Linked DNA regions of Arabidopsis thaliana. Each later gene encodes a partner of the first gene's protein in a complex. Each region holds a gene or a part of one and is shown in the gene's direction. Other genes may lie near its edges. The genes, in order: NRPB4, NRPB2 and NRPB3.

Region 1 (9,341 bases):
GACCAAGAAAACACGCAAAGCAAAAGTAAAACCAACGAAACACTGAAAATCAAACTAAGTTAAGTAATAAACTGAACTAAATACAAACATCACTATCTGCAATGACCCAATTTAGCTTTAATATTTGAGTCAACAGTGAATCTATCAAAATCATAGAGAGGAATCGTAAAAGCAACCTATCACAGGACAACATCCCACAAAAAGAAGCTTGTATCCAACACAAAGTCGAATCCTCCTGAATTTGTGCTAATGTCCTTAATCTCTTTCCAAGATTAGGGTTACCAAAAACTAGGCCTATGCAATTCCTAAGTCAAATGTGGAACAAATCACATTCAAAACTCAAACAAAATATCCAACTTAAACAAATCCTTCAAATTATCCCAAACCAAAAGTTCATGTTCCTTAAGAGCTTAAACCACAAACACTGATAGGATATAACCAAAATTCCAAGTACCTGTTTGAGCTGACCACGTTTCTTAGAGAGATTGAGAATCTGCTCATTCAGAAGTTTCCAATCCTTAGCATCGAAACAAAGCTGAAGAATCTCAGTGGCGGCTTTCCTTGTACCGGCTACGTTTTCGGCGAGTCTCATCTGCTTCTCTTCATTCAGAAGCCGATCTATCGTTGCCTCAAGCTTCCCGCTGTCTCCCTGAAATACAAACTATGACGGAATGAGAAGATGCAAAAATTTCGAAAACGAGAAAAAAACTTAATATCAGATCTGAGTAATTGAAGACTCGCCATCGTGAGAAATCCAACGAGAATCAACTCAAAGTAGTTGAAATTCTGGTGACGGAACGACGAAGCTTTAAACTATGGAGAAAGAGGAGACGGACGAGAGAGATGAGAGAGCTTTTGGGAGTAGCTGAGCACAGATAATTCGCAGAGTTCCCAACCCCTTGAACAAGAAATCTCAGATTCTTCGGCCGATGGATCTTTTTACATGGGCTGCTAATGGGCCATTAACTAATTGTTTTGAGTCAATCAGGTTTGGTATGTAATACCGGTCTAGTTATATGGTATGGTGTTGGTTCAGAAGTATCGAACCGATCCCATTGATTGAACAAACTCACGTCGTTCGTTCTTCCGCCCAAATCTCATGATATCTTCGAATTTTCGTAGCGAAACCAGAGATTCTATAATGTCGATCGAGAACTCCCTGTCTCGAGATTCAATGGTTTACCTTGATTACTGGAAAGATCTTTTCTGAATTTTTTTCATCGAGGAGAAGAACGTTAAGGAGGAAGAAGGTGAATCTTACTTCTGTGAAACTCTTATTACGCTCTTAGAATTCGAATATTGATCCTCTTACATATTCCTTAGATTCGCTGCTTACCTCCATCAATTGTGTTAACTTCGGTATTGGTTTCGATTTGTGCTCTAGAGATTATTTGCACTAGGAAGGTGAAGGAACTGTAGCCGAGACTCTGTTTTGCAATGTGCAAGGTGATGGATTAGAATAATCTGCTTACAGCTAGGAATCAGAGTTTCGAAATGATGATTTCTGGAAGCTTCTCTTTTGGTCGAAGACGCGACTATGGGACTTAATTTCGCAGTGCCGATTTTGCTGGAGTAATCAAAATGCGGTTTTGGAGGGAACGTGGCAGGGAAAATAAGGAACATATGGTAGCGCCATTATGCGGCCAAATTCGAGTATTGGTGGTTGGTGATTCAGGTAATATTAACAAATTCTCGTTTCCATAGATTTGGTAATGGTTCTAGCTTTTTAAGTAGCCATTTAATGGAACTAAAGAAAGTTTGTCGTAGTGCACAAACTCATCCTTAAAGAAGGAGCTAATGAGAAGATTTCTCATGATGATTGGATATGAGTTTCTACTTGTGGAACCTAATAAGAGTCAAGTTTCGTAAGTCTACTACATCTTCTCCACTATTGAGCAAAGTTTTATCTCTGGATATCAAATTAGGTGTGGGAAAATCATCTCTTGTGCATCTCATTGTCAAAGGCTCCTCTATTGTTCGCCCATCTCAAACTATTGGATGTACAGTTGGTGTCAAGGTAACTTAAGCTGTTCTATAAAAAAAATTCTCGATATGGTTAAAGAGAGCATGGGATAAGTTTCCCTACTTAGTTTCTGGAACTCTCTTTGGTGCAGCACTTAACTTACGCAAGTCCTGCTAGTTCTTCAAGTATCATTAAAGGTGACTCAGAGAGAGATTTCTTCGTCGAACTTTGGGATGTTTCAGGTCATGAACGATACAAAGATTGCCGCTCACTGTTCTATTCACAAATCAATGGTCTGTCTCAACAAATGTCATCTCTGTCCCTGTTTTGTCACTGATGCGACTGTTTGATTATGCAGGAGTTATTTTTGTTCATGATCTTTCGCAAAGGACTACAAAAACTAATTTGCAGAAATGGGCGGGTGAAGTTTCAGTAACTGGGGAGTTTTCAGCTCCCCTTTCTTCTGGTGGGCCTGGTGGTCTTCCCGTCCCATACATCGTTATTGGAAACAAAGCTGATATTGCTGCCAAAGGAGGAACAAATGGAAGCAGTGGCAATCTTGTTGATGCAGCTCGTCATTGGGTTGAGAAGCAGGGTCTGCTTCCCCATAGTGATGAACTTCCTCTCTCTGAGAGCTTCCCTAGCAATGTTGGTCTCATAATGGTAACCACAGACTAAATTACTTGCTTTATTTGAATTTAGTGTTATGCGGTATGTCATATAATTTTGGTAAAATTATGCACAGGCTGCCAAGGAAGCTAGATATGACAAAGAAGCTCTGACCAAAATTTTCCATATGGTTGGTGTCATTTCTGACCTTGCCATGTTTTACAATAGCTCTCTCCCTCTCTCTCTTTCTCTTCAACCTAATGAACGTTTTTCGTTTTCAGTTGATAAGAAGAAGATATTTCTCAGACGAACTACCGTCGCCTTCTTCAGCATGGTCTCTTTCCCATGCACCTTCCCAGCGGTTAGATGAGGGCACAAGTGATGAAGATCAGTTCTATAAAAGAACAAGGTATATATATTTATCATCCTAAAAAAAATCGGATTTCTTTTCTTTATCGGGTTTTGGTCTTTTGAATTTTGCAGCCTAAGGGAAGGAGATGCTTACAAATATAACACATTACCGCAACACAATCTCATGCAGTCTCCTACACTCTATCCGCAGCAACCACCTGACCGTTACAATTACGCTATTCCGAGATTCTCTCTTTCCAGTGTAGAGGAAACCAGCAATGGTAATGGCAGGTCTAAGCGGATGGATATTAACGTCTGAAAGTAAAACACAGATCAAATCTCACATTATTTTCCTGTAATCTTCCAAACATTATCTTCTTTTATTTGTCAACACTCCAAACATAATCTAAGTATTCTTTTTTTCTAAATAATACATGATTCGTGTGATAATTATCTTAATCATGTGAAAAAAACTTGATAAGTTTTTTTTTTTTTTTTTTTTAAGTTGGTAAGTATAAGCTTGATCAGTTAGAATTTAGAATCCCAAACTAAATCGGATTGTAAACAACTCAGTTCCTTATAAATACACTCGAATCATAATTGTAAGACAAAGAAGAAGAAAAAAAACAAAGTGTTGTATCCAAACGATGAAGACAACAAAGATTGAGAGTGAAGCCGTATGTAAGCATTGGTTTTTGTATATAGCGGAGTTCATCAAAGAAAGACTAAGTGAAGCGAAACTCAAGGAATACATGGGGTTGATGAAACAATTTAGGTCCCGGCATATACAAGGAGATGAACTCATAAAGTCTCTTCAAAATCTGTTTCAAGGAGACGTGGTTCTTTCTCAAATGTTCAACGCACTTATGAAAACAGAGATCCAAGAACTGCAAGGTAACGAAAATCCGGAAACAGTCGCAAGAAAAAGAACAAGGAGTGAAGCAGAGAATGATGATGGGATTGAAGAAGGTGAAATTCGAGAGGGGCATTGCGATTGTCCTCGTTGCAAGATTGGTCGGGAAGAAGCAGAAAGGCGTAGTATACCCATTAAGAAAAGAATTTGTCGTGGGTTTTAGAAGATTTTGTTTTGTTCTTAATATCACATGTTATTCAGTTTGTGCTTTTCAAATATTTTTCCAAATTCTATGTTACTACTCAATTTATGTTAAATCATAAAATAACTTGGGTTTTTTTTAATCAAATTATATTATGATAAATTTTGTTGTTCTTCTCTATTTATCATCAATTATAAATATATTTCTAATTAATCCTGTTATGATGATATTCAATTTCTTGCAGAATATATGATTGTAGTAAACAATTTTGATCTTTTTTTGCTATTAAATCAAAAATTTATACCAACTTTATCAAAATCATTGCCTATTCAAACTTGATGATTATTATTCGGTTTATTTCAATTTTTCTCTATTACTAACATAGTAACATTTATCTAATTAACCTCTCTTCCCCAAAAAAAATCTAATTAACCTCCTTGGATTTTCCTTTTTTAATTATAGAGTTTGCTTCTTTTTTTTTATATATAACCGGTCAAAGCTTTTGTTTTGTCTCATATTCATCACTTTCGTTGTTAAGACGGAAAAAAAAAAAAAAGAGGCAGAACCAAAAAACTTTAGGGTTCGATTTCGCTCCTTGGTAATCACCATGTCCGGAGAAGAAGAAGAGAACGCCGCCGAACTCAAGATCGGAGATGGTACTTCTCTATTCTCTTCGCCATATCCCCCGCTGTGTACCTCAAAATTAGGGTTTCTTTGCCTCATCGAATTGATCTTAATTCAATACGATTTAATTGAGCTTAACTGTATCGAAAATCCCTTAATTATTTGAGATTTATCATCGAAATTGATGGGTTTTATTCTCTTTGACAAAAGAGTTTTTGAAGGCAAAGTGCTTAATGAACTGTGAAGTCTCTTTGATTCTTGAGCACAAGTTTGAACAGCTTCAGCAAATCTCAGAGGATCCTATGAATCAAGTTTCTCAGTAAGTATAATTGTGTTTCATAGAGATTCATTGTATATTAGCCATCATGAATTGAAGAATTTAGTCAGTTTTATATGTTACTTCTAGGTTAGTGAATCAATGTTGAATATTGTTGAAGAAGTTATGTTTGCTCCTTGCAGAGTGTTTGAGAAGTCCTTGCAATATGTGAAGCGATTCAGCCGCTACAAGAATCCAGATGCTGTTAGACAAGTTCGAGAGTATCCTTTTTCTGAATTAGTTTGATTCAAAGTTTTTAAGTAATCGTTGCTTTGACATGCTTCCTTCTTGATGAGTGAGATTTTACAGTCACTGGTTTAATTCTATAGTTTTGTGAGAATATGCTATTCCTTAACTCAACTTTTGCAGAATACTAAGCAGACATCAACTCACTGAGTTTGAGGTACAATGTTAAATCTCTTGAGATTGGATTTTTGTTTATCAATTAAGTCGTTTCGGTAGAAGACTTAAAACATTGCATTGTTCATTATTGAACAGCTATGTGTTCTTGGCAATCTCTGTCCTGAAACTGTTGAAGAAGCAGTGGCAATGGTTCCTTCTCTTAAGGTAAATAAAGATTCTACTTTTTCTATTCAGTGGAGATAATAAGATAACCTCAAAAGGACAAATTGTATTGTTATGTAAGTGGACTTTTGAGATGATGTAAGCTTCTCTTTTGTGTAGACAAAAGGAAGAGCTCATGATGATGAAGCTATTGAGAAGATGCTCAATGATCTCTCACTTGTCAAGAGATTCGAGTAGTGCAGAAGATTCTCAAGATCTAAGATTCTGAACATTTAGCAGGATGCTTTACTTGCCTTCTAGCTGATCTGGAGTTAATTCGCCACGTCTGAAATTATAAAGCTTTAATGCCTAGAATTTCTGGAATGATACCTTCATGTTAAATGAATGTAATTTACAACGGATGATCCAAGCTTTTAATGAAATATACCATCTCTTTTTCACTAAATCAAGTAAGGGATGACACTATATACATACTACACCTAAAGCAGCTATGTGTGAACTGTGAAGCTTTAATTCCATCTCTTGGCATTTTTGCTGGACTTTGACTTCTTTTTGGAAGCTTGAAACGCTTTCATCTTTTGCTTCTTCCGTGCTTCTCTCTCAGCCTTTGACATCTTTGACTTTGCTTTCACTTTTGGAGCTTTTTCTTCCAATTCTGCTTCCCTCTCCAGCTCCCTTGCTCTAGCTTCAACATTCTTCTCCAGGAAATACTGAGAAACAGTTCAAAACAGTTCAAAACACAACCTAGAATGAACAAATTTGGCAAAGGTCTATTTACAAGAGGAAACTAGGTTGAGAGAGATTTCATTACATTGTAGTCTCCTGCATAGTCCATTAAACCACCATCTCTGACTTCAATAACTCTGTTAACAATCTGTTTAATGAAGTATCTATCGTGTGAGACTGTGATGACCGTGCCTTTGTACTCATTTATAGCTTCCTGATGAAAGAAGGAAACAGAGAATCAGATCATACTCAACCTCCAAGAACAGTTTGGCCTATTGAACAGATAAGAGTATGGTTAGAGACCTCAAGCATTTCTTTTGAAGGTATGTCTAAGTGATTGGTGGGTTCGTCCAACACAAGTAGAGTGGATGGTTTCACCATGAATTTGCAGAAAGCAAGGCGTGCCTAAGACCGCAAGAAAAAAGGCGATGAAGAACATGATGAGTATTATATTGAGGATAATGATAGACATTATGTTACCTTCTCACCACCACTCAAAAGAGAGACCTTTCTATCCAACATGTCAGCTTTGAAGTTGCACCGACCAAGAAGAGCTTTTATATCATCAATTCTCCAATCTACAGCAGCTTCAACAACTGTCTCAATCACCGTTTTATCCAAATCTTGAGCCTCTGCCTACAGCCAAACAAATGAGTAAAACTGTATTTTCTGATTCCTCTAAAAAGCCATTTCTTCATGATAGAACAAACCTGATTCTGCTCGAAGTAGTTTGGCAATACATTGTGCTCCCCAAGTATCACCTCACCTCTCATAGGCTTCTCCAAACCCATAATAAGTTTCAGCAATGTACTCTTTCCGCACCCGTTTGGACCAATTATAGCGACTTTCTCTCCTCTTTCTATAGCTAGATTCGCCTTGTTAAATAACATCTGCTTGCATCAGAAATACAGATCAAAACACAAGCAATAAAATGTACTACCAACAGCATTTGACTAACTATATCATCTCACCTTATCATCAAAACCAAATACAAGATTCTTAACAGTGACTACAGATCTTCCACTTAATCCACATTCCGGAAACCGGATTTTCATTTGTTTCCGCTGAAATGGCTTCTCTATTAGCTCCTCTTCCTGAAGCTTCTCCAGTTTCTGTTTATATAAACACAAATTCAAGTAAGTTTCATACATATTCTCTGCTTCATAAGTACTAGTTAATACCTTTTCTGCTGAAGAAGCTCGACCAGAATTTGCTCCAGCACTTAGCCTACTAATCAAATCCTTTGTTGCTTCAATCTCTTTCTGTTGCTTCTCCCAAGCAGCATACTGAGCTTCAACCAACTCTGCCTTTGAAATTACATACTGAGAGTAATTACCATCGAAAGTCCTCGAAACTCCCATTTCGGTTTCCACAATTTTAGTACACAACTGATCAAGAAACGCCCTGTCATGTGATATTATGACCATAGGCACATCTTGCTTAATCAAGTAACCTTCAAGCCACTCAATAGTATCAAGATCCAAATGATTCGTTGGCTCATCCAAAAGCAGTAAATCTGGATTCTGTTCACAGAATCACACATTAGCGTAGCTCTCAATACAGAGTTAAAGGAATCACATTTCTCATTACTACTACCTGAAGCAAAATCTTCCCAAGTGACATTCTCATTTGCCATCCACTGCTAAAAGAAGCCACAAGCCTATCAGCATCCTCCGACACAAACCCTAATTCCGACATCAGCTTACTGATTTTAGCATGGATAGAATCCAAATCAACCTCTTGAGCTCGTCTCTGCAACAAATCGAATTCGTCTAGTAACTTTCCCATTAGTTCTAAATCATCAACAGCTTCTTCAATCGCCTTCTGCAAGTTCTCAAGCTTCCTCGCTATTTCCATCTCTTCCTTAAACGTACACATGAACTCTTCCTTCACTGTCTTCCCCATTGAAACCTCGAACTCTTGACTCAAGAAAGCAACTTTCAAATTGGGTTTGGCCCAAATCACGTTTCCTGAATCAGGTTCTTCTTGACCCGTTATGATCCTGAGCTGTGTCGTCTTCCCTGCACCGTTGACGCCGATTAACCCTACTTTTTCTCCTTTCTTCACTTCCCAAGTCACATCCTTTAGCACCGTAATGCCTTCATAGCTCTTACTAATGTTCTCAAGTCTCACTCCCGACGAAATCGAAGACGCACCATTGTTTGATTGCTTACTGATCAGCTTCCGATCGGTAGATAAGAGAGATTCGAGCTCTGAATTGGAGCTGGCTGCGGAAACGTGAGCTCTAATATTGGGGAATACTCGTCTAGGGTTAGAAACAGAGGAGAGTTTGAAGGTGAAAAGTGTAGGGCAAGTAATAGTATTAGTGAAGAAGAAGGTCGAACGAAGGTTTAAGCTATAGAGATTCGTCGTTAATACCATTGTTGGTATAAAATGTTAGACATCAAACGATTAAAACGAAGCTATTTTGATTGTTAAAGAAAATGTAGGTTTTGATTGTTAACTCTCGAGGCTTCTATAGCGTGTGAGCGAAGAAGTGTCACGAACACACACGTATGCATGTGAAGCTCAAGGCTCATAAATTGCCACGTGTCAAACCGCATAACCACTATTTTTCTAGATTACCACGTCACCGGATTGACAAATCGGGCACTAGTCTCACCCGTTTGTGCACATTACTTTGGTTTCTAGGTTATTATTCGTGCATTAATCATTCACCGATAGCAAATAAGGAAAACAAAACACTAGGTTTATCAATATAGTCACACTCATTCCTAAATTATATTAAGTAATTAAAAAAGCGTCAAAGTACAGTACTTATGTCGAAATCGTACAATATCTAAGGTAATTAATCTATGTCACGATCTTAAGAAAGAACTATCAGTCTAAATATTATATTTCCCTAGTTAGAATGTCTAAATTACCTTATATACCGTTTGGCTTAAAACAAATCACCTTATATAGTGCAAGTGAATCACTAGAATCTTCTCCGATAATCACAAACTCGAAAAGAACAAATAAGCTTTCCATTATAGATTAGGACATTGAATTAGAACACTAAAGTAAAAGGTTAGCTATAAATGCATACAATCTATTTAATAATACATTTTACCGCCTTATAAATGATGAATTCCCACATTTCTTTATTCTTCTTCGTCCTTCAAGATTTAACAAAACACACAACAACAAAAAAAGACGATGGTGAAACTCA
Region 2 (12,896 bases), on another chromosome or scaffold:
TAGATACGGTTCAGTCCATTTCTCTTTTTTGAAGAAAAAGATTCATTGTGTGAATTACCTCAGAGTATTTGGCATCTCCAGGAGAACGATCTATAACAGCAGTCCATGGTCTGTCTTTTAGCACAGGATCTTTGTAGCAAATTTCACTGCAGTCTCCTACACCTATAGAGAGTACACTACTATTACACCAATTCATTAACTTGGAAACTTAAACCTGAAAAGCAGAAGATACTCTTCATGAACATGTAATTTCGTTATGTAGGAGACAAGCTTGGTTTTTATGATGTTCCATAGTGAGGACAAATCTAACCGCTCATCATTTCATCAACAGTTTCGTTACAGATTACAAAGAATTAAAAAGAAATGCTTACAATCTTCCCATGAGTCACTATCGGCATCACATCCCTTTTTGCAGAATACTCTCCCTACACAGATTCAGGAATTACATTAGTGCTATGGAAAAAATGTCATACAACAACATGGAGGATAAACACTGATGCTAAAGCTGAAAAAAAACCCAGATTGCTATGGAAAAAATGTCATACCAAGCATAAGTTCAGCTAGCTTTTGTGCCCATGAATGAAATTCAGAGATCAGAGAATGAAAAGCTTTCATCAGAAAGACAGAAACAGCCAAACCAAGCCCTTTAACTAGCTTAAGCATACATATATGTCAATAGTTCATAGAAGCAACATGGATACAGAAGCATCTTTGATACCGTTACTTTGACTCTCTCCCTTTAAATTTCTTTCAGTTCATAAACTACAACTTATTATCTTCCACTTTCTCCTACTAATTTAACCATTTTCTTAATTACATGATAGAAAAGCTCTAAGAACTCTGCATAATCTCCCTTACTTGTAATCAATATAAATGTTGCCGATTCTTCAATCTACATTATTCAATTACGAGTCAAGATGGATGTTCTTAAATACTTGCAACTACAACTATAAGTTGTCTCTGGACCAATCTAACCAAAGAAGCGATTCTTGACCAAAATGTTTAGTATAATCGTAATGAAGTAGAGTGCACCAACAAATAATTAGGGTTTATGAATCAAGAAATCAATCAACAATCCAATTTACAGATCCCAATTTCAATTCCAAACAACAACAAAAAGAAGAAACACTCGGAAGACTAAATTGACTTTTGAATCAAGAAATCAATCACCAATCCAAATCAGAACCCAATCTATCAGCTCCAACAACAGATTCTTATCATCATCATCGAAAACTAAACCATCAAAAAACAACGGACCACGAACATCAAAACTCAAAAACGAATCCGATTCACACAAATTAAGAGTCCAGATATTACATACATGGAAGCTGCGTAAATGCTGAGTACTTATTCGTGCATTTGCTCCCACACGGCGGCGTCCATTGCTGCGGTATCATCTCTCTCTCCCTTCCTCCGCCTTCACTCTCCGTCTCTCTCTCTCTTCTTCCGAAAATATCGCTGACGCCACAAAAATGTAGCCGGAGACTTTTCTTTATATAGTAAGGGTGTTTCCGTCATTTAACAATCCAAGCTCTCTAACAACCAAACCGATCCTTTTTATAATCCCATTTAATCAAACCGGTTATTGATACAAACCGGTTATTTCCATAAACTTAAGCCGACTTCTCTCTCTCGAGCCTTTATAAACTCACAATCTCACAAAGCCGTCTCATTCTCTGCGTCCTGTCTCTCTCTTTGTCTCCGAGAGCTCGAGTAGTGAAGTTTGCTGTGCTCTAATCTTCAGAGAGTGAGAATAAATGGAGTACAACGAATACGAACCTGAACCTCAATATGTAGAAGACGATGACGATGAGGAGATTACCCAGGAGGACGCGTGGGCTGTTATATCTGCTTATTTCGAAGAGAAAGGTCTCGTTCGTCAACAGCTGGATTCGTTTGATGAGTTTATTCAAAATACTATGCAAGAAATCGTTGATGAGTCTGCTGATATCGAGATCCGACCTGAATCTCAGCATAATCCTGGCCATCAGTCCGATTTTGCGGAGGTTGTTTCCTCGTTTTTGTTTTTTTCTAGGGTTTCTATGGGAATTCGAAATTATGTGCGGGTTTATCGTGTTTGTGGCGGTTTTAAAGTGTTTCGATTTGAGCTTCTACCGTTTGGGTGCGATTAGGGTTTACCTGAATCTTATTGATGTCCCGAGATTGTCTTGTTATTCAATGCTTGAGCTATATGCTGTTCAAGAGTCAAAAAATGATTTTGACTATTGATGTCCGGATATTGACTTTGAGCTGGTAATCTTATTAATGTCCCGAGATTATCTTTGAGTTAATGCTTGAGCTCATCTCTTTCGAGGAGGATTTATAGTATTGGTTGAAACTCAAATCAGTTTTGGCACTATAAAAATGAGTTTGGTATCTTTTTTTGCTGTCCCTTTGGTCTGTTTTCCTGCAGACAGTCTATTGTTAGCCCTTATCTGAGAAGCTTATCTCAATGATTTCCCATGATTATCTTTGTATTCGATGCTTGAGCTCTTCGCTTTTTTGAGGTGTATTTTCAGTGGTTTTGAATATTGGTTAAAGCTTAAATCAGTTTTTAAGTTTTGTTGCAATTAGGGTCTGCCTTTGTCGAGTAGCTAAGCTCATTGATTTTCCGAGATTATCTTTCCATTTAATGCTTGAGCTCTTCGCTTTTTTCAAAGTGTCCTTTCAGTGGTCTTTATTATCGGTTGAAGCTCAAATCATTTTTGACTTTGTGTGAGCTGAGATATAGCTGTTTTGCTATCTGTTTTTCTGTATGTCTGATATAGCTGTTTTCCTGCAGACAATCTACAAGATTAGCTTTGGACAGATTTATCTGAGTAAACCTATGATGACAGAGTCTGATGGAGAGACTGCCACCCTGTTCCCTAAGGCTGCAAGGTTGAGAAATCTCACATACTCTGCGCCTTTGTATGTCGATGTTACTAAGAGAGTTATTAAGAAAGGGCATGATGGTGAAGAAGTTACGGAGACACAGGATTTTACTAAAGTTTTCATTGGAAAGGTGTCCGAACTCAGTTCATTGTGTCACATTTATTTAGGTGTTTCCATGTACTCTACTGTTCTGATAGTAGAAATGTTTTCTTCTTGTTTGATTATTTGCTAGGTTCCCATCATGCTCCGGTCTAGTTACTGTACCTTGTTTCAGAACTCGGAGAAAGACCTGACAGAGCTTGGAGAATGTCCTTATGATCAGGGTGGATACTTCATTATTAATGGCAGTGAAAAGGTTCTGATTGCTCAGGAGAAGATGAGTACGAATCATGTTTATGTGTTCAAGAAAAGGCAGCCAAATAAGTATGCTTATGTTGGTGAAGTCCGTTCTATGGCTGAAAACCAAAATAGGCCTCCAAGCACAATGTTTGTGCGTATGCTTGCTCGTGCTAGTGCAAAAGGGGTAAGAGAAAGCTAATTAGTCTTAACTCTACTATATCCTTCCTCGAAATTTATTCTTTAAATTCTAGATAATGGTAAATAAATTACATTCTATGTTGCAAATGGATGCAGGGTTCATCTGGACAGTATATTCGATGTACTCTTCCATACATCAGAACAGAAATTCCTATTATCATAGTATTTCGTGCACTGGGATTTGTTGCCGATAAGGACATATTGGAACACATCTGCTATGATTTTGCCGATACCCAGATGATGGAGTTGCTCAGGCCTTCCTTGGAAGAAGCTTTCGTTATTCAAAATCAGCTGGTATCCACTTTTTTTTCACTTGGTTAATGACATTTTATTATGCTTGAGGAATTGATCTTGCAATCACTTGATAACTTTCATATTACTTCAGGTTGCACTTGACTATATTGGAAAACGTGGTGCAACTGTTGGTGTAACCAAGGAAAAAAGGATAAAGTATGTGATAATCTAAACCAATTAAGTTGGACATTATGATCTAAGATGTCAACTATTGAGATGTTCACACTGGAGGTTTGCGATTGCAATATTATCATTGCAGGTATGCTAGAGATATCCTTCAGAAAGAAATGCTTCCTCATGTAGGAATTGGGGAGCATTGCGAGACAAAGAAAGCTTACTATTTTGGGTAGGTATTTAACTCACTTGTAATGTTTATAGACTTAACATGTTTCTGTGTTGCTCATATTATGCTATGATCCGTAGGTATATCATACACCGGCTGCTGCTTTGTGCACTTGGCCGAAGGCCAGAAGATGATAGGGATCATTATGGTAACAAAAGGCTGGATCTTGCTGGTCCTTTACTTGGAGGGCTATTTAGAATGGTTTGTTCCCGGCACACAATTATACACTCTTGGGGATTGTTGAGTATCAGTGTTTTTTTTATCTCTTACTGACCTAACATCTTCTCTACATGCAGCTTTTCCGAAAGTTAACAAGGGATGTGAGATCTTATGTTCAAAAGGTATCTTACATAGTTACTCTTTCTCGAGCCAAAGACTTTAGTATTAAGTTGTTATTCTGTGTTTGGAAGTCTGATTCATGTTTCTTTGACAGTGCGTTGACAATGGCAAAGAAGTCAATCTTCAATTTGCCATTAAGGCTAAAACAATTACCTCTGGCCTGAAATATTCTCTTGCTACTGGGAACTGGGGCCAGGCAAACGCTGCTGGCACAAGAGCTGGAGTCTCTCAGGTTAGGATAATTCTATGTTAATTATGTTTTTGAGTTCCAATAATTTCTTGATGTATGTTATCGGGTTTACTGTTTTGGCCTATTATAATTCATTGCATGATTTATATGGCTCTAAAGACTTAACTAACAACAGGTTCTTAACCGGTTGACATATGCTTCGACTTTGTCACATCTGAGGCGTCTCAATTCTCCAATAGGACGTGAAGGTAAAGCCTCGTTCTTTTCCTGCACTTCTATTTTGTCTCTGTGTAACTGTTCGTACAGTTGGTGTATTTTAGTCATGGTTCTCTTTATTATCCACATCCTTGCAATTTAGATTGGCTTGTACTTTTGTTTATCCCACTTGAATCTAATCAAGTCTGATATGCCAGGAAAATTGGCAAAACCAAGACAACTGCACAACTCACAGTGGGGAATGATGTGCCCTGCTGAAACACCTGAAGGACAGGTAAAATTGTTATATTTATAAAATAAGGGTGTTTCGGATTTTATAGTTCCATTGCTCATTGTGGCTTTGCTGTACCAGGCTTGTGGTCTAGTGAAAAACTTGGCTCTCATGGTCTACATAACAGTTGGGTCAGCTGCTTATCCTATATTGGAATTTTTGGAAGAATGGGGTACTGAGAATTTTGAGGTCTGTAGCATTTCACATTCAATTTCTTACCCAACATCTGCCTCCTTGGTTCTTGTGGTTTCCTGAAGGTCTTAACTTGAATATAGGAAATATCTCCATCTGTTATACCCCAAGCCACAAAAATCTTTGTCAATGGAATGTGGGTTGGAGTTCATAGAGATCCTGACATGTTGGTGAAAACGTTGAGACGTTTGAGACGAAGGGTAAGCATGCAGTTTCTTTCACGTTTCCATATATGCTAGTGAAAATATTGCAACTTTATGCAGAAGTGACATATTACTTTTTCCTCTTGCAGGTTGATGTCAACACTGAAGTTGGTGTAGTTAGAGATATCCGTCTTAAAGAGCTCCGGATATACACTGATTATGGACGTTGTAGCCGTCCGTTGTTTATTGTAGATAATCAGAAGCTCTTAATAAAGAAGAGAGATATCTATGCTCTGCAACAAAGGGTAAAATTCTAATTTTTACCTGTTATCAAAGTATCTTTTGTTATAAATTCCATTGTACCAATATTTGTTTTCATAACCCAGGAAAGTGCAGAAGAAGATGGTTGGCATCATCTGGTTGCTAAGGGCTTTATAGAATACATAGACACAGAAGAAGAGGAAACGACCATGATTTCCATGACTATCAGTGTGAGTAATGAAATGAAGATGTGATTAAATGAGTTTGTGGTGCACTAATTTCTGCAGAAATCTTACTCTTATGTTTGTTGTAGGATCTGGTTCAAGCTAGACTCCGCCCAGAAGAGGCTTATACTGAAAACTACACACATTGTGAGATTCACCCATCTCTGATATTGGGGGTCTGTGCTTCAATCATACCATTTCCTGACCATAATCAGGTACCTCTGTCTAAATGACTTTTCTATCAGAAGCGATTTCATTATGTAAATTCAGTTTCATGCTAACTAACCCTTTACTTTTTGATGTATTAGTCACCTCGTAATACATATCAATCTGCCATGGGGAAGCAAGCAATGGGAATTTATGTCACCAACTACCAATTTCGCATGGTATGTTCTAGGCTCTTAATTTGTGGTCTTTCTTGTCAGCTCTTGTTACATCACTCAATATTTTAAAGAAATTATTATTGTTCTGTCAACCAGGATACGTTAGCTTATGTTCTCTATTATCCACAAAAGCCTTTGGTTACTACAAGAGCTATGGAGCATCTTCACTTTAGACAACTTCCAGCAGGAATTGTAAGTTATTTTTGCTAGAAGTTTTTCAGAATTCAGCATTGCTCGTGTATCAAATCTCTCAAATGTTTTTTTTTCTTCTTCTTGTGCAGAATGCTATTGTTGCCATTTCTTGCTATTCTGGATATAATCAAGAAGATTCTGTCATCATGAATCAGTCTTCAATAGATCGTGGTTTCTTTCGATCCTTGTTCTTTCGGTCTTACAGGTGAGTATGCTATACTTTTGGACGTTTGCCTTCGGTCTTTCCATTTATTTATACTGCAATCACGTTTGCTGACAGAGATGAGGAGAAAAAAATGGGGACGCTTGTCAAAGAAGACTTTGGGCGCCCAGACAGAGGAAGTACAATGGTAAGAAAGTAATTGACACATGGTTCATACTTCAGTGGTGCTTTTTGTAAGTGAAGTTTAACACTTGGGTTTCTGCTGCAGGGTATGCGACATGGTTCTTATGATAAACTGGATGATGATGGTCTTGCGCCTCCTGTAAGTTTATAATTTATTGTTCCTTAATTATTTATTATCTGATATGATTAGGTGACTAATGTTAGAAAGCATATCATACAATCTTTTATTTTTGGTATAGGGTACTAGAGTTTCAGGTGAAGATGTTATCATTGGGAAAACCACTCCAATATCTCAAGATGAGGCTCAAGGACAATCATCCCGATACACTAGACGTGATCATAGTATAAGCTTGCGACATAGTGAAACTGGAATGGTGGATCAGGTAACTTTGGCTTTTCCTTGCAGTTAAGGGTTTAGAAAGTTTCAGGATTGAAATATGAAACTGATCAATTCTTGTAACTTCGTGTAGGTGTTATTGACTACAAATGCAGATGGTTTGAGGTTTGTGAAAGTGAGGGTCAGATCCGTGCGGATTCCTCAAATTGGAGACAAATTTAGTAGTAGACACGGTCAGAAGGGAACTGTTGGCATGACCTACACGCAGGAGGATATGCCATGGACGATTGAAGGGGTCACTCCGGACATTATTGTGAATCCACATGCTATTCCGTCTCGAATGACAATTGGACAGCTAATTGAGTGCATCATGGGAAAAGTGGCAGCTCACATGGGAAAAGAAGGAGATGCTACTCCCTTTACAGATGTCACGGTAACTTGCATTTTCCTTAGCTGCTTAGTTAGCATTGGGCTTGGTATTATTAGTTTTGACCAATGTTGTGTCGTTAGGTGGATAATATAAGCAAAGCCCTTCATAAGTGTGGGTACCAAATGCGTGGATTTGAGAGAATGTACAATGGTCACACGGGCAGACCACTCACAGCTATGATATTCCTTGGACCAACATATTACCAAAGATTGAAGCATATGGTTGATGACAAGATTCACTCGCGTGGACGAGGTCCGGTGCAAATCTTAACAAGACAACCAGCTGAAGGGCGATCACGTGATGGTGGTCTCCGTTTTGGAGAAATGGAGCGCGATTGCATGATTGCACATGGTGCTGCTCACTTTTTGAAAGAGAGGCTGTTTGATCAGAGTGATGCGTATAGGGTACATGTGTGTGAAGTCTGCGGGCTCATTGCCATTGCAAATCTGAAGAAGAATTCTTTTGAATGCAGAGGTTGCAAGAACAAAACAGATATTGTTCAGGTAAACATAAACTGTTGTGCAAGTGGTTCATATTCATCTTTATCTCTTTCATGCTCATTTGTCTGATGTCATTTCATCTAAATATTCTCAGGTATACATTCCATATGCTTGCAAATTACTCTTTCAAGAGCTTATGTCAATGGCTATTGCACCAAGGATGCTCACTAAACACCTGAAATCGGCTAAAGGCAGACAGTGAGGAGCTTGCAATCTGATTTTGTAGAAACTTGAACTTTCCTTCTCTCTTGGTCATAGCTTTGTAACAATACTAAATTTACAAATTTGTGTAATATTTCTGTACTAATTCTTAAAGCTAGAAAGGTACCTTATAAGATATATTTATGGATTCTTTAGTAAATTTGCTGCTCCTAATTATTCTCATGGGGCATCCGTATGGGGATTCACTTTGTTTCCTTCTGCTTTCATCATCATTGTGCCTTATCGATGAGCTCAACATTGCGAAATCCATTCAATAGCTGTTTCAAACATTAATGATATCTTTTCTATGGTTTTCTCTATTCCTTCAATATTAGTAGCTGCAGCATATGCACTGAGACGAATACTAAGAGTAAATTGGTCAAAAGAGACTCCATTCTTCTCCATTTCAAGCATCAGATCATCTAATTTTCCATGCACATTCATCTGATTATACATATTCATCATACGATTGTAACAACGTGTGTCCATGGAAACACACGCTTCCTTCATGGCTTCCACAAGCTTCTCAGCTTACGATATTAGCAGCTAAGAAGACTAGAAAAGACCGCAATAATCTTTGGGAATGTTATCAAAGAAAACCTCTGCTTCTCCAAGTCCACAGACTCTTGATATCAAGTTTATGCGTGTACCAAAAGCTTGATAAAACATAGTTTTTTTTTTTTTTTTTCCTCAAAACATAGCTTTTATTTGAGAGTTAAAATGTTCAATAGAAAGATTCAGGTGTAAATTAGATAATAATAAAAGTTTTGAGGCTTAATATGCAATTATCATAAACTTTCAACCTTTATTTGTATTTTTTCATTTTTGTAAAGTCTCAATCTTTGACTATCTTCTTCGCCGGAACCGATGAATATACTGAGACGAATTCCGGCGAATTTGATTGCGAGCAGATATTACTACACTAACAGAGTAAAAAAGACGACACTTTACTCAAAAATCAGTCCTTTAGGAGACCCAAAATCAAGTGTTTACCCAGAACTCCAAAACTGGGTTCAATGCGGTAAAAAAGTCTCTGTTGCTGAACTTATTCGCATCGTTCACGATCTTCGTAGACGCAAACGCTTCCTCCACGCTCTCGAGGTAAGTAATTCTATACAAATCAAGTCTCTTTCCCTCTTTACACCGAGAAAAAAAACTAAACTTTAGAATTTTTCAAATTCAGGTTTCGAAATGGATGAATGAGACTGGTGTATGTGTGTTCTCTCCGACAGAACACGCGGTTCATCTTGATCTTATTGGTAGAGTTTATGGATTTGTCACTGCAGAAGAGTATTTTGAGAATCTTAAGGAACAGTATAAGAATGATAAGACTTATGGAGCTCTTTTGAATTGTTACGTTAGGCAACAGAATGTTGAGAAGTCTCTGTTGCATTTTGAGAAGATGAAGGAGATGGGTTTTGTTACTTCGTCTCTTACTTACAATAACATTATGTGTCTTTACACGAATATTGGTCAGCACGAGAAAGTTCCTAAGGTTTTGGAGGAGATGAAGGAAGAGAATGTTGCTCCGGATAACTATAGTTATAGGATATGTATTAATGCTTTTGGTGCTATGTATGATCTTGAGAGGATTGGTGGGACCTTGAGAGATATGGAGAGACGACAGGATATTACTATGGATTGGAACACTTATGCGGTTGCGGCTAAGTTTTATATTGATGGTGGTGATTGTGATAGAGCGGTTGAGCTTTTGAAGATGTCGGAGAATAGATTGGAGAAGAAAGATGGTGAAGGTTACAATCATCTCATTACGCTTTATGCTAGGTTAGGGAAGAAGATAGAGGTTTTAAGGTTATGGGATTTGGAGAAAGATGTGTGTAAAAGGAGAATAAATCAGGACTATCTTACTGTGTTGCAGTCGCTTGTGAAGATTGATGCTTTAGTTGAGGCTGAGGAAGTACTTACGGAATGGAAATCATCGGGGAACTGTTATGATTTTCGAGTGCCTAACACTGTGATTCGTGGTTACATTGGAAAAAGTATGGAGGAGAAGGCAGAAGCGATGCTTGAAGATTTAGCAAGAAGAGGGAAAGCTACTACACCAGAATCTTGGGAACTTGTGGCTACTGCTTATGCGGAAAAGGGTACTTTAGAAAATGCTTTCAAGTGTATGAAAACTGCCTTAGGTGTAGAAGTGGGTAGCAGAAAATGGAGACCTGGATTGACGCTGGTTACAAGTGTTTTGAGTTGGGTCGGGGATGAAGGAAGTTTGAAAGAAGTAGAAAGCTTTGTTGCATCTCTTAGGAATTGTATCGGTGTGAACAAACAGATGTATCATGCTCTTGTCAAGGCTGATATAAGAGAAGGCGGACGTAACATTGATACTCTGTTGCAGCGTATGAAAGATGACAAAATTGAAATCGATGAAGAAACCACAGTGATTCTCAGCACAAGAAGTCCATGCTAAAAGTTTCTTATTCTTCCTTGACGTGATGATACCAAAGATGTCTTCTGAGACAAGGATTTAGGAATGTGATTTCTTAACGGTTGAGTCTTCCTTCAGCAATACTTATTAGTACCAAATGTACCAAAATTTTATTTTGTTAAGAACACTCTCTAGACTCTGTTTTCATAGCATCTATAGAACAGTCTACAAGAGAATCCTCTGTTCTTTTTTCAAATGCAGTGTACTATCATATTGAATCAGCAGAAGGCAAAGTTAGAGCTTTGGCAATTTGGTTCCATTTTTATTGAAGTTTATATTCACTCTATAACAATTTGCTTTCCCACAAAACTGTAGATATTACACAACCTAAAACAGTTAAGAACAAGATAAATGAATTGTATGACAACAAAACTGTGTGTCTATATATGTATTGTCAAGAGTCATTGGTATTGTGTTGCTCACCAGCTTGTTGAAGCTCTACAACTTTCTCATATCCCACATATTCTCTGAATCTCTTTGGAATGAAACAACGACCACCGAATCTCTGCTGCAAGAAAATCAGAAACGCAAAGAGGAAACCGATGCAGAGGATAATAATATCCCATGCCGTAGAGTAATAATCCATTTTGTGGTTTGCATAAATGAATGACCAATCAAGAATCTTCCCGTAGCTGTGACTTCTATACAGATCATAAGCATGAGGAAGCAATCGAACAAAGCTGTTTCCAACGTAAAACAAAGCAGCAAGAGGCTTCAAGTCCGAGTTGCTGAAACCGTTGAAGAGTATTTGAGGAAGGAGGAATGCGTCAAGCATCAAACCTCCATAAGATTTTAGATCTTTCCACAAAGGAGGACGTTGAAATGAGCGTTTCAGGTTCACTGGACGGTATAAGAGATTCCGAGCTTGCGGTTTTCCTATGTATACTATTCTTTTAGGAGTTCTATTACGGTTCACTAACCAAGCAATCAATCCACCGGTGATGTAGAGAGGTAAACACACATAAGAAACCTTCTTCTCTGCTTTCCACACATCTTCACGGTGATGATGGTCTCCGGTTTTTCTAGCAGTCCAAGCTAGTTGGAGAAGACGGCACTCGAGTAAGAAAGCTATCAGTGTCACTATCCGCACCACAATTTCCTTGGCTTCGAGCCATCTGTCGTTCTCAAAGAACAAGTTTCGCTGGTTATGGCTGCCTTTAAAGAGTTCTTCAAAGTTTAACAGCAGAGGAATCATGTGACCTAATGTAATAAGTATCAGCATTGCAACGGAGATGAAAGGAAGTGCTTCCTGGTGTTGCTTCATATGGTAGAGTTGCATACCCAAGAAGAGACATGAAAGTGTATTGGAAACTAAAACCATAGCAACCTCCAAATCCATTCTCCAAACAGATTCTTTCGCTTGATGAACATAGATGGACCTCGACAAAACCTCCATACGTCCAACATAAAGCGGATCTGTCTTTTCCCGTGTGCTTTTGATGGTTCCCTTTAAACGGTCATCGCTTCTCGAATCAATTGGAGAAAAGTTAATCTTGATTGCAAGACTGCAATCCACAGTCTCGTTTTGTATAGCCACTGTGTTTTTTAGCCTAACTGATTGACATCCTACCATGCATAGCTCACCTGTATCCCTATCATATGTTCCCTCAGCGTAGATATCTCCACGAGATTCGGAATTTGGATTCAAAGAACGGATTCTATAAGTGATATTTGTAAAGCTTTTAGTGACACTGTTGACATTCATAGGGATTCCAGTTAGCCCAACCCCTTGCCCACGAACCAAAAGATCCCGATACAAACGGTCTCCCACAAAGTAAGGACTTGCACGGGCAGTTCTCAAGACATTACCTTCTCCAGAATATTTGACTGACATGACAAATCTCATGTCTGAAGTTTGAGCATCAGGGTAATGGTTTCCTTTCCTTTTGGGGCGACTCTTGCCAGCCCCGCATAACTTACCCACTCTCTCGCTTTCTGTATACTCATATCTCAGACTCGGGAAACGCCACAGTTGATCGTTTAGGCTCGAGAACTCAATTCTTCTGAAATAGCTTGGATCACTCTCTGCTTGGGCACTCCAAAGCTCCCCAACTACTGGAGCCATGCTTTTAATCGACAAGATAGCAGGAAATCTCAAACTTAACCTCAGGGAACAATCATCAACCACAGCATTACTCAAAGAATCCGAGAAATTCAAGATCCTGCACGCAACACCA
Region 3 (9,868 bases), on another chromosome or scaffold:
GTAGACAACGTTTGGATTTCTGCAAGTGGAGTGGGTACTTATTACTCTCCAGGTATTCCTGTCCTGCATGAAGTTGTTGTCAACTGTATAGAGTCCGTCTTCCTTAATAAGTATAGTGAAAGAGCTTGTTTCAAGGAACAGTAAATGGTTGTTGTCATAAAGCGTTGTCCACTCAGCAGCATTAAGCCAACTTTGGGTTGATGCTTTAAGTACATGTGCGACATCTGGCAAATATAGCATCAAAATATATTAGATTTGTAGATATATAAATAACTATCTTAGTTTTGCTACAATGTCTTCTTCAATTAGAATTTTCCAAGCATCAGTTCTATCACAAACCTTCTCCTAGATCTCCCTAGAATCCAGATCTGCTACATTCTTAGATTTTTAAATCTTGCCTAAGTGTTACAAATTCCATAGATCTTGCATTCCCTAAATCTTGATGTTCTAAAATTTCTAAATACAATGCCTCGATTTCCCAAATTCGCCACAGTATCTCGATGATCTCCTTCAAAACTAAAAGAGTTTTTAACTAACCAAATACTCAAATACTCCTAATTTGTATTCTTAACCCTTTAACCATAGCCTAAACAATACCCAATTTTTAAAATAATAAATAAACACTTACATTGTTTTTATTGCTTTCTTTGTAAACTATGAATTTTTTTTTGTATATATATATAATTTTATATAGATTTCACTATACATATGAAGAAAATTAATCAGACACATATTATTAGTTGCACTCTCATTTTCTTGGAAGTAGGAAAAATGATATAACTTGTTTAATTGTACAAACATTACCCAATTTTTTTTATTTTATTTTTGTCGTATTGTTTTGGCCGAACCATTTTCTTCTTTTATAAAATGGGAATTTTTGCATTCTATTTTCGTAGACAAAGAGTAAATTAATCATTTGTGAGAGATAATAATAAACTTTGGATGTTCTTGTCTAGTAGCTTAAAATAAAATTGAGTATTTTTGGTTTAGATAAATGTATAAATGGTGTCTAATGTATTCTTACCATTGGATGTTTGACAAATTACACATTTCTCCATTTTCTTTAGAGTAATCAAAGGGATAAGCATTGTAAGAGTTTATAACGATGGTCCTTGTGATGATCTAAATAATGCATTAGGCAGTGCTTGTTGATTAAAGAATGATGAAATCCTTTAACACTCACATGTTAAAATATTTGTTAACATCTTGTCCTTAATATTGTTAAAGAAACTTAACTAAACTTGTTAACATTTTGATTATGGGTGTCAAAATGGGTCAAAATTTATGGGTCAACTCAATTCAACTCAACCCATGAACTCTAATGAGTTCAAAATTTTGACTCAAATGAGTTGATGGGTCAAATGAGTTGATGAGTCAATTGGTTTGATGAGTAAAATTAGTTGGGTTGTAATGGTTAATGGTACTATGAGATCATTTCAAATTTTTTGATACATGGTGTTTTCCTCCCAAATATATGACTATAATATCACTAAATACTATGAGATCTCGTAGAGTTGTTGAGTACGATAAAAGAATCTATGAAAAAAGAACTTAAATAAAGAGGTATACGTTTGACAAAAAAAAAAAGAAAAAAGAAAAAGGAAAAGGTATAAAAAAAAACATTTGAGTTGGGCTTATATGGGCCTGTTTGAAATTTGGTGACATTACTTTTCGCCAAAAGAATTAAAAAGGCCCATATAGGCCCAACTTTAAACATTACTCTAATATTTATATCTTTCTCACTTTTGCTTTATTCTGATTTCTTCTCCTATCTCCTTCTCCGGCGAAGAAATTGAAAATTCATTATCCCTAAAACCCTAATAAAGGTCCAGAGAGTCGTCAGAAACCACCGATTAGCTTTTGAAATGGACGGTGCCACATACCAAAGATTCCCAAAGATCAAGATCCGTGAGCTTAAAGATGATTACGCCAAGTTCGAGCTTCGTGAAACCGACGTTTCTATGGCCAACGCTCTCCGTCGCGTAATGATCTCCGAAGTCCCTACCGTCGCAATAGATCTAGTCGAAATCGAGGTTAATTCATCTGTACTCAACGACGAGTTCATTGCTCATCGATTAGGTCTCATTCCTCTCACTAGCGAACGTGCTATGAGCATGCGTTTCTCTCGAGATTGTGATGCTTGTGATGGAGATGGACAATGCGAGTTTTGCTCTGTTGAGTTTCGGCTTAGTTCTAAGTGTGTTACTGATCAAACCCTAGATGTTACTAGTAGGGATTTGTACAGTGCTGATCCTACTGTTACTCCTGTGGATTTCACTATTGACTCGTCTGTATCTGATTCAAGCGAGCACAAGTAAGTCCCTTTTCATCATTAGATTGTTAAATGCAGAAATGTGGTGTTTCTTTTGTCATTATGAATCGATTGGAGTTGTGAAACGTTAGAGATTAAGCAATGGTGAAACAAAATTTGCATCTTTTAGCATTCCGAGGATGAAAAATACTTCCTTTCGATGGCCCTTTGCATGACTCTTCTTGTTCGTGATTGTTTGATGTTTAATTATGGTGGTTGTGTGGGTTAAAGACTCTGTTTTTGGTTTCGGGTTTCAGGGGAATTATCATTGTGAAACTGCGTCGGGGACAAGAGTTGAAGCTTAGAGCGATAGCGAGGAAAGGGATTGGGAAAGATCATGCGAAATGGTCTCCTGCAGCTACTGTTACGTTTATGTATGAGCCTGACATAATTATTAATGAAGATATGATGGATACTTTGTCAGACGAGGAAAAGATCGACTTGATTGAGAGCAGTCCTACCAAAGTGTTTGGCATGGATCCAGTCACCAGACAGGTTAGTTTTCACGTTTTGGAAGAATGCAGCTATACAAGTTTATAGCTTTGAGACTTAAATATGATTGAACTACTTTATAGACTGCCATGCCTTGAAATATATATATGTGATGTGGTTAGTGCATTTGCTCTTTTCTGTGCTTCTCTTTCTGTTAGATAGCACTACTTAGCTCTTTAGGAGAATTACGCCAGTCATCGGAATGAATCAAATAACTGCTAAACTTCTGGTACCAAACTGAAACATCTTTCTATATCTAATCACTGCAAATTATATGAATCACTTGGAGTATCTCTGTGCCAGTTGAACTTTTGTTTGTGATTTCATGTTAGAGATTTCAAATTATTCGAATGGTAAAGGGAATAAAGAAAGGAGAAGATATAGTACTTGTAGTACCTCTGTACCAGTTGAATTTTCTTGGAGATTTCATGTTAATGGTTCAGTGTTTACTAGGACTCACCACAACTGACAATTTTCCTTTGACCCGCTAGAGAACATTGTATATCATTATAACAGTTACAGTAGTTTATCGTTGGAATTTAGTATGCCATTTCTTTTGAAGTCTGTTGCTTGAATCATCACAACTGTAATTTTTATACTTTGCTTCTTAGGTTGTAGTGGTTGATCCTGAAGCATACACTTACGATGAAGAAGTGATCAAGAAAGCTGAAGCAATGGGGAAACCGGGACTCATTGAGATCAGTCCGAAAGATGACAGTTTTATATTCACTGTTGAGTCCACAGGTGCAGTGAAGGCTTCCCAACTGGTACTAAATGCCATTGATCTTCTGAAGCAGAAGCTTGATGCAGTCCGTCTCTCAGATGACACCGTAGAAGCGGATGATCAGTTTGGTGAACTCGGTGCCCATATGCGTGGAGGATGAACTCAAGTGATTAATTCGAGCTCTTTGTTATACCTGTTTGTTTCAGGTTTTGAGTTTCTTCTGGAGCAGACTGATATTAACCGTAGTGGCACTGTCTTGTTTGATAACATGTGAAGTGGCAGTCTTCTATTTGTTCTGGACCTCTGATCCCTCTGTTCCTGAATCTTGTTAAGTTTGGTTGTTGTTAGTTGTTAGACTCGCTCGTAACGAAAATAAACGCAAGGATTAAATTCAATACATTGAACAAGTATGATTAAAATGGAACAAGTATGTAGTTTAATCTTAAAATTCGTACCATTAACTGAAATGGAATGAAAGACTTTTGCATAGTGGATACCCAATTTAAAGCTCTTAAGTTCTTGAACTTCGATCACACAATAAGTTATGGTGAGTAGCTTCCCTTGGAATGAAACAAGAGACAAAAACTCAAAAGTTTTCGAGCTAATTCATAGGTCCGAAATGATGTCATGGATCTTAGATAAGAGAATTCCGGCATTGATTACTTGGACTAATTATTAACAATCAGATTCAATCAGTAAATCTCTCAATTCTGCTTCCAAAGTGGCAGTGATGACCGCTCGTATCGCTAGTCCTTACGCCATGAGAGGGGATGCCACATTTTCACGCATTGCTGAGTGGTGAGTCGAAAGTCCAGTGGTCAAATAGGTCCAGCCACAATTTTATTTTTTAAAATTATAGGCCACCACATTTTCGTAAGAAAGTAAGTATATCTATTTAGTTGGATCAATTATGGGATCGGCACATTAAAGTTTGTGCTTTTGTGGAGATAGAAAAATTTCACAGTATTCACAAATTGAGGTACTTTTACCTAATGTCGTTTTACAGTTTCATTTTTTACAACTTTGTAAAAAAAAATTTCATTTTGTTTCTTTTTTCTTGTTCCACTATTGCAGCATCGTCTACAACATATCCCATTAATAATTTTAAATCAAACGCAATAGGAGAGATACACGTCTCCGATTAATATGCATTCGTTTCTTGGATTGGCTTTCTCTCCGTAATCAGCTCAAATTCATTGGAGAGCCGGTGAATTTTGTCGCCGTCTCTTTCTTACACGACCTCCGTGTAAACAACAATTCTCCCCGCTCACTCTTCAATTCAATTTTATCGGAGCTCAAGATTGGAGCCCTTGGGTTCCATAGATACTATCTTCTTATGGTATACATTTCTTCTATGAGAGCTTGTTTAATGGAAACCATCAACATGATTAAAAGATTTGAAGTTTCTGGAAAAAATAAAGAGAAGAAGTAAAACGATGAAGAAGAAGAAGCAAGGAGAAGAAGTCAAACATAAGGGCAAAACAGTCAATTTGCGTATATAAAAGTTCCTTTTTTACAAACAACGTGAAAGTATCCATTTTCAAATATTTTTCAGAAAAAGTACCTATATCAACAATAACCCACTATTTAGTTAGTTTGATATAAATATTTTTTTAATTAAAAATGCGTTTTTCATTATCTAGAAGAGATTTTCTTATCTTGAAAACATATTCTTTAGTAATATATAATAAGTAAAAAAAACAAATATTAAAAACAGATAATATTATTAGAAAAACATATGAAAACAAAGAAAAAACTTATTTTGATTTTCTTTTACATTAAGCATGCACATAGTTGATACTCTATGAGTATCATTAACAATTTTTTAGTATTAATTTTAATATTTATTTATTGTTTGAGATTTTTTATGATACTGGTAATAAATTTGTTTCCAATGGTGAGACCGATATTGGTATCATTAAAAAAATAAATTATTTGGAAAATCAAAAAATAAATATATAAAAACTTAGGATTATAAAATTACTGCAAAATTATATCGCATAATCACGAAGAGCCTGCAAAATTACTCACTCGCAGAAAATATAACTAGTTAGCTAAAACAATAGAAAGACTATCGGAGAGAATAATAGAATTTTTTTTTTCCAGAAAAAACCAGTTTCACAGACGAATCATGAGCCTCCACATCACCCGATACTGGGTATCAAAAGAATCATTACACTGATACGGTATTAGGCCTAAATGTCTTGTCTGATTTATTAAAAACTTATTTATGGCTCTTGATACTCTAAATGTATCACCTATGTACATGGTCTTAGTTTTTGTTACTAATATTTTGTTTCGAATTTTGAGTATTATTTTTGAAATATTACCATATAGCCAATTTTTAAAAACATGTCCTAGACCAAGACTAGTCTAAGCACGGCACTAGTCCAACCTAAACTTGCTGCTTTGATATCATTCTCCAGGATGCATCAGTTTACATTTGATATCATACTCCGGAAAGAGAAGAAGATCAAACCTTCCTGCCAGTCCAGAAGAAGGATTGATCTGCGACTTTCCGACTTGAGGTTCTTGTCACTCTTTGGCCTTCTTAACCATTTAATCATGTATTTTTTAAATGACTTGAGTTATAAAGAAGCTTTTAGATAATTTTGGGCAAATTGAGAAAAGTTTCGTGATGGTGTGAAATCTCCTTCTAGTCCACATGAAACAATGAGATTTAGATCTTTGTATGTCACTAAGAAAATCTACTAAATTAAACCATCTAAAGTCTTTCCAAAATCATTCTTTCTATAACACTAGACTTTAGAAGAATTTTTTAAATTTTATGATTTAATAACAAAAAAATTATCATTTTAACACAATCCGTTTCAAATGCTTTGATTAAATAAACCCGCACAATTTTTTTAAAAAACCATTACCAATATTTTTTCGGGATTTAAAATATAAAGAAGGGTAACAATGCAATTAAGATGTTCCAACTATCACATTAAACTCATCACTTGCAACGAGTTATTCCCTTCCATAGTTTCTTAGAGAAAAGTGGGATTAATTACGAGATCGGTACATTAAAGTGTACGCCTTTATGGATATAGGAACATCTCACTGTACTTACAAATTTAGGTACTTCTACGTTATATGATGATTGTTTTACCCTTCAATTTAATTGAGTTTCATCTCCTTGTAGTACCTCTCTCTCTCTCTCTCTCTCTCTCTCTCTCTCTCTCTCTCTCTCTCTCTCTCTCTCTCTCTCTCTCTCTCTCGGCATAGAATCTACTGCCTCTAAACTCGCCATTGATGTCCATTACTTCTCCATCGCCTTACAAAGTTCAGATCTATGGACTATGATTGGCCAATCTTCTTCCTCGACGATGAAGGTGGTAATTCTCCATAGCTTCTTTGAATTTGAATTGCTGGATCTGAATCATAATTCCATCATCTCTCGCTTTATTTTAAAAGAGGAATAAGAAACAATTGAAATTTTTAATTGATTCTAATTATATAAGATTAGAATCTTTGGGTTCCCTATATAGTTTCCCCTTAGGGTTTAGCTTTCTCCCATCAAAAAGCTTTTAACTGATTTTATTGGGTTTATTGGAATTGTATGGTGATAAAGATGTTGAGTTCGTCGGAGAAGATGGAGTGAAAATTTAGGGGCAATATCGTCTTTTCATTTGCCAAAAACTGCCTAACCTCATAAGCCTAATCATAATGTGCTCTTTAAAAATTTATGGCCCAAAATGTACCCAATATTATAAAGGGTTTATTGGCAAAGTAGACACTTTTTCAAAAATAATTTGTAAAGTAGGTAATTTTTTTTAAAATTAGAGAGATAGACACTTTTTTTGTTTTTTGTGAGATAGAGAATTTGTCTAATAGACTAAAAGACAAAATACATATCAAATACTAAAATACCCTTTATCTTGAGAGTAAATAAAAATTATATGAGAAACCATTTTTACTTTATTTTGTTTGTCTTTATCTTTTTATTTTTTTTTATTTTAGTTTTCTTAAATATTAAAAAATATATATTCTTTTTAAAAAAAAATTACATTGACTTTTAGAGTATTTATCTATCATCATTATAATGCACAAACATTTAAAACATCGTTTTGTACACTAACCATTATTCGTTGGTGTACAAGTGTGTACACCGATATTTCATAAATCATCACCGACTTCTCTTATACTTATTAATATAAGTAATATTGTTTTTAATATTTTACAAACATAATGATTGTATAAACCAAATATTATTATTCAATATAATGGTGTACATGATGGTGTACATAATTAAGTTACTCTTAATGGTGTACAAAATGATTGAAATTATTATGACGATTGGTGGATAGAATGATATATACAACTTTTAAATGATAACATACAAGATTGGTAGACAAAGTGTACAAAACTTGGTGTACACTTATAGAGAATGTATAAATCATTATTTCAATTAGTGGTGTACATCATCTCGTACACCAATGTTAGTACACTGTCTCATAGATTTTTAAAGGTGTAAGATTATATACACCATATTTTCATCATCTATGTACATCATTTTGTATACTGTTATATTCAGTGTATCATTTTCTACATCAGTAATTATATATTAATTTTTACGTTATTGTTGTATACTACCATTAGTACACCAATTTTAACAATATCACGTACACCGTCGACTGAGATTAAATAAAAAATGCTACATATTTTTGAAATATAGCAAAATTAGACTTTTTAGATTCACATAAAATTTTTAAGAACTAATATGATTATGTGGTAAATTTTTATGAAGAAATATCATCAAATAAAGTAAAAATAAAAAGTAAGATTTGATTTGAGTTTTATCTTTATCTTACTACATAACAAAATAACAAAAGGTTATATAAGTCATTTACTAAAATCTCTATTAGGCAAAAAGTTGTATTAGAGAGGAAAGAGAAAAGTGTCTATTTCTCATATGTTTAAAAAAACTACCTATTTTGCAAATTATTTGTAGAAAAAGTGTCTACTTTCCAACTTATCTCTATTATAAAAGCCCCGATCAAAGTGCAGATATCAACAAAAATAAAATTGTGGAATGGGTGTATATATTTTTGTTGCAATATCTTTTATGTAATGCATTTGCAACATCTTTTACCTATACTTCTCGTGTTTGTGTGTTTACTCTCTTTTATGTCAAGAAGTGAATGTGTCAATCTCGTAACATAAGTCTCTATTTATAATTCATCGACATCTTATTATATAGCTTTTTCTCAAGTTCAAAATTGCAAAAGAGAGGAGCATGAGAAAAAAATGTCGCGTTAACGACACCAATGTCGAGAAGTTTTCAAAATCTCAATGATGACTCTGCAATGGAACAGTTTGCTACACGCCTCTCAACAAAATAGGGTAATTTGGCATCGCAAAACTGAAACACTCTATCTTTACGAAACTACATTTTTTCTTTCACTTAAATATTTGTGAGGCCCAAATTCTCTATAGTATTCCCTTTTGGTTGTTATGTTCTTAAAGAAGAAGATAATATATCGTGTATATTAGGGTGATAGCATGATAATTTAAAAATAAATTTTCACCAAAGAGATAAACTCTGTTTTGTCAAATTTCAAGTCTAATTCCTCCTCGTGACTTGGAAGTCTTTTAAGTACACAAAGGAAAGCAAAGGGGAACGATAACTAATCCTAGAAACAAGGAACACAATTAACAAAGTGGGAATATGGAGACGTGGAGCTTGATCTCCTAAATCTAAGGAACGCACTTATCAATTCTTCTTTTCTCTTTGACCATGGTTCAATCATGGTTAAGCACTTATCATAGGGATTATAGCTTATAGGTTTGTTCCTCATATGTATGTACCGCTAAATCGTTCAACTCGTGTCATACCCAAGAAACAAATCATTACAACTTGAAAGAAACCTAGTAGGCCATAGAAGGCCCATAATACATATCTTACGTAGACGAATTATCATCTACTACATTCAAGAGCACAGGGCATAAAAAATGAACCCCCACTATCACTGTCACCGACACCTATCTCTCTCACTCACTTTCTCAGCTCCTCTCTCTTTGGTTCGTTACTTCGTTACATATGCAAACTATTCACGTGCAGCACGTGATAAAGAAAGCTAGTGGCACCTAGACTAACCTTTAAGACTTGAGCTCCGTTCTTGAGCCACGAGCCTCGTCGGAGACATCGGATCCAACAGTATATTCTTGAAGAAGGTTCTTGGGTTCTTATCTGCACGCGTTTCCATGCCCTCAATAATAATACTCAAAACTTATACGTTACTTTAGTTAGAGGTCTCCGTAGCACTTCCTTGATAAAAGGCCATTTTGATATCACCTTGTTCATAAGTTATGAATCATAACTTTAACACACATAA

What was found.
Region 2: NRPB4 (region 1) and NRPB2 share a complex: the UniProt entries of both Arabidopsis thaliana proteins name them as parts of the RNA polymerase II complex.
Region 3: NRPB4 (region 1) and NRPB3 share a complex: the UniProt entries of both Arabidopsis thaliana proteins name them as parts of the RNA polymerase II complex.

Annotation. Positions count from the first base shown.
Region 1 is NC_003076.8:3,091,691-3,101,031, forward strand, and holds NRPB4 (RNA polymerase II, Rpb4, core protein), read left to right. Parts: upstream 1-4,492; 5' UTR 4,493-4,585; coding exon 4,586-4,634; intron 4,635-4,812; coding exon 4,813-4,921; intron 4,922-5,061; coding exon 5,062-5,139; intron 5,140-5,287; coding exon 5,288-5,321; intron 5,322-5,416; coding exon 5,417-5,485; intron 5,486-5,602; coding exon 5,603-5,680; 3' UTR 5,681-5,952; downstream 5,953-9,341. Other genes in the region: EMB2107 (26S proteasome regulatory subunit, putative (RPN5)), read right to left, coding at 455-649, 742-744; AT5G09910 (Ras-related small GTP-binding family protein), read left to right, coding at 1,582-1,675, 1,926-2,017, 2,115-2,256, 2,322-2,626, 2,709-2,762, 2,854-2,981, 3,056-3,242; ABCF2 (ABC transporter family protein), read right to left, coding at 5,953-6,153, 6,255-6,383, 6,473-6,574, 6,650-6,805, 6,880-7,059, 7,141-7,281, 7,351-7,692, 7,766-8,551. UniProt on the Arabidopsis thaliana protein: DNA-dependent RNA polymerase catalyzes the transcription of DNA into RNA using the four ribonucleoside triphosphates as substrates. Second largest component of RNA polymerase II which synthesizes mRNA precursors and many functional non-coding RNAs.
Region 2 is NC_003075.7:11,531,062-11,543,957, reverse strand, and holds NRPB2 (DNA-directed RNA polymerase family protein), read left to right. Parts: upstream 1-1,552; 5' UTR 1,553-1,757; coding exon 1,758-2,006; intron 2,007-2,782; coding exon 2,783-3,004; intron 3,005-3,106; coding exon 3,107-3,397; intron 3,398-3,507; coding exon 3,508-3,705; intron 3,706-3,796; coding exon 3,797-3,861; intron 3,862-3,964; coding exon 3,965-4,051; intron 4,052-4,128; coding exon 4,129-4,249; intron 4,250-4,344; coding exon 4,345-4,389; intron 4,390-4,481; coding exon 4,482-4,619; intron 4,620-4,752; coding exon 4,753-4,825; intron 4,826-4,990; coding exon 4,991-5,067; intron 5,068-5,145; coding exon 5,146-5,253; intron 5,254-5,339; coding exon 5,340-5,456; intron 5,457-5,548; coding exon 5,549-5,704; intron 5,705-5,785; coding exon 5,786-5,890; intron 5,891-5,973; coding exon 5,974-6,099; intron 6,100-6,192; coding exon 6,193-6,270; intron 6,271-6,363; coding exon 6,364-6,459; intron 6,460-6,548; coding exon 6,549-6,664; intron 6,665-6,739; and 13 more. Other genes in the region: AT4G21720 (defensin-like protein), read right to left, coding at 59-162, 372-425, 1,322-1,397; AT4G21705 (Tetratricopeptide repeat (TPR)-like superfamily protein), read left to right, coding at 9,141-9,374, 9,457-10,701; AT4G21700 (DUF2921 family protein, putative (DUF2921)), read right to left, coding at 11,114-12,896. UniProt on the Arabidopsis thaliana protein: DNA-dependent RNA polymerase catalyzes the transcription of DNA into RNA using the four ribonucleoside triphosphates as substrates. Second largest component of RNA polymerase II which synthesizes mRNA precursors and many functional non-coding RNAs.
Region 3 is NC_003071.7:6,731,796-6,741,663, forward strand, and holds NRPB3 (DNA-directed RNA polymerase family protein), read left to right. Parts: upstream 1-1,738; 5' UTR 1,739-1,865; coding exon 1,866-2,314; intron 2,315-2,568; coding exon 2,569-2,806; coding exon of another isoform or gene 2,807-2,851; exon of another isoform or gene 2,852-2,961; coding exon of another isoform or gene 2,962-3,009; exon of another isoform or gene 3,010-3,414; coding exon 3,415-3,687; 3' UTR 3,688-4,024; downstream 4,025-9,868. UniProt on the Arabidopsis thaliana protein: DNA-dependent RNA polymerase catalyzes the transcription of DNA into RNA using the four ribonucleoside triphosphates as substrates. Component of RNA polymerase II which synthesizes mRNA precursors and many functional non-coding RNAs.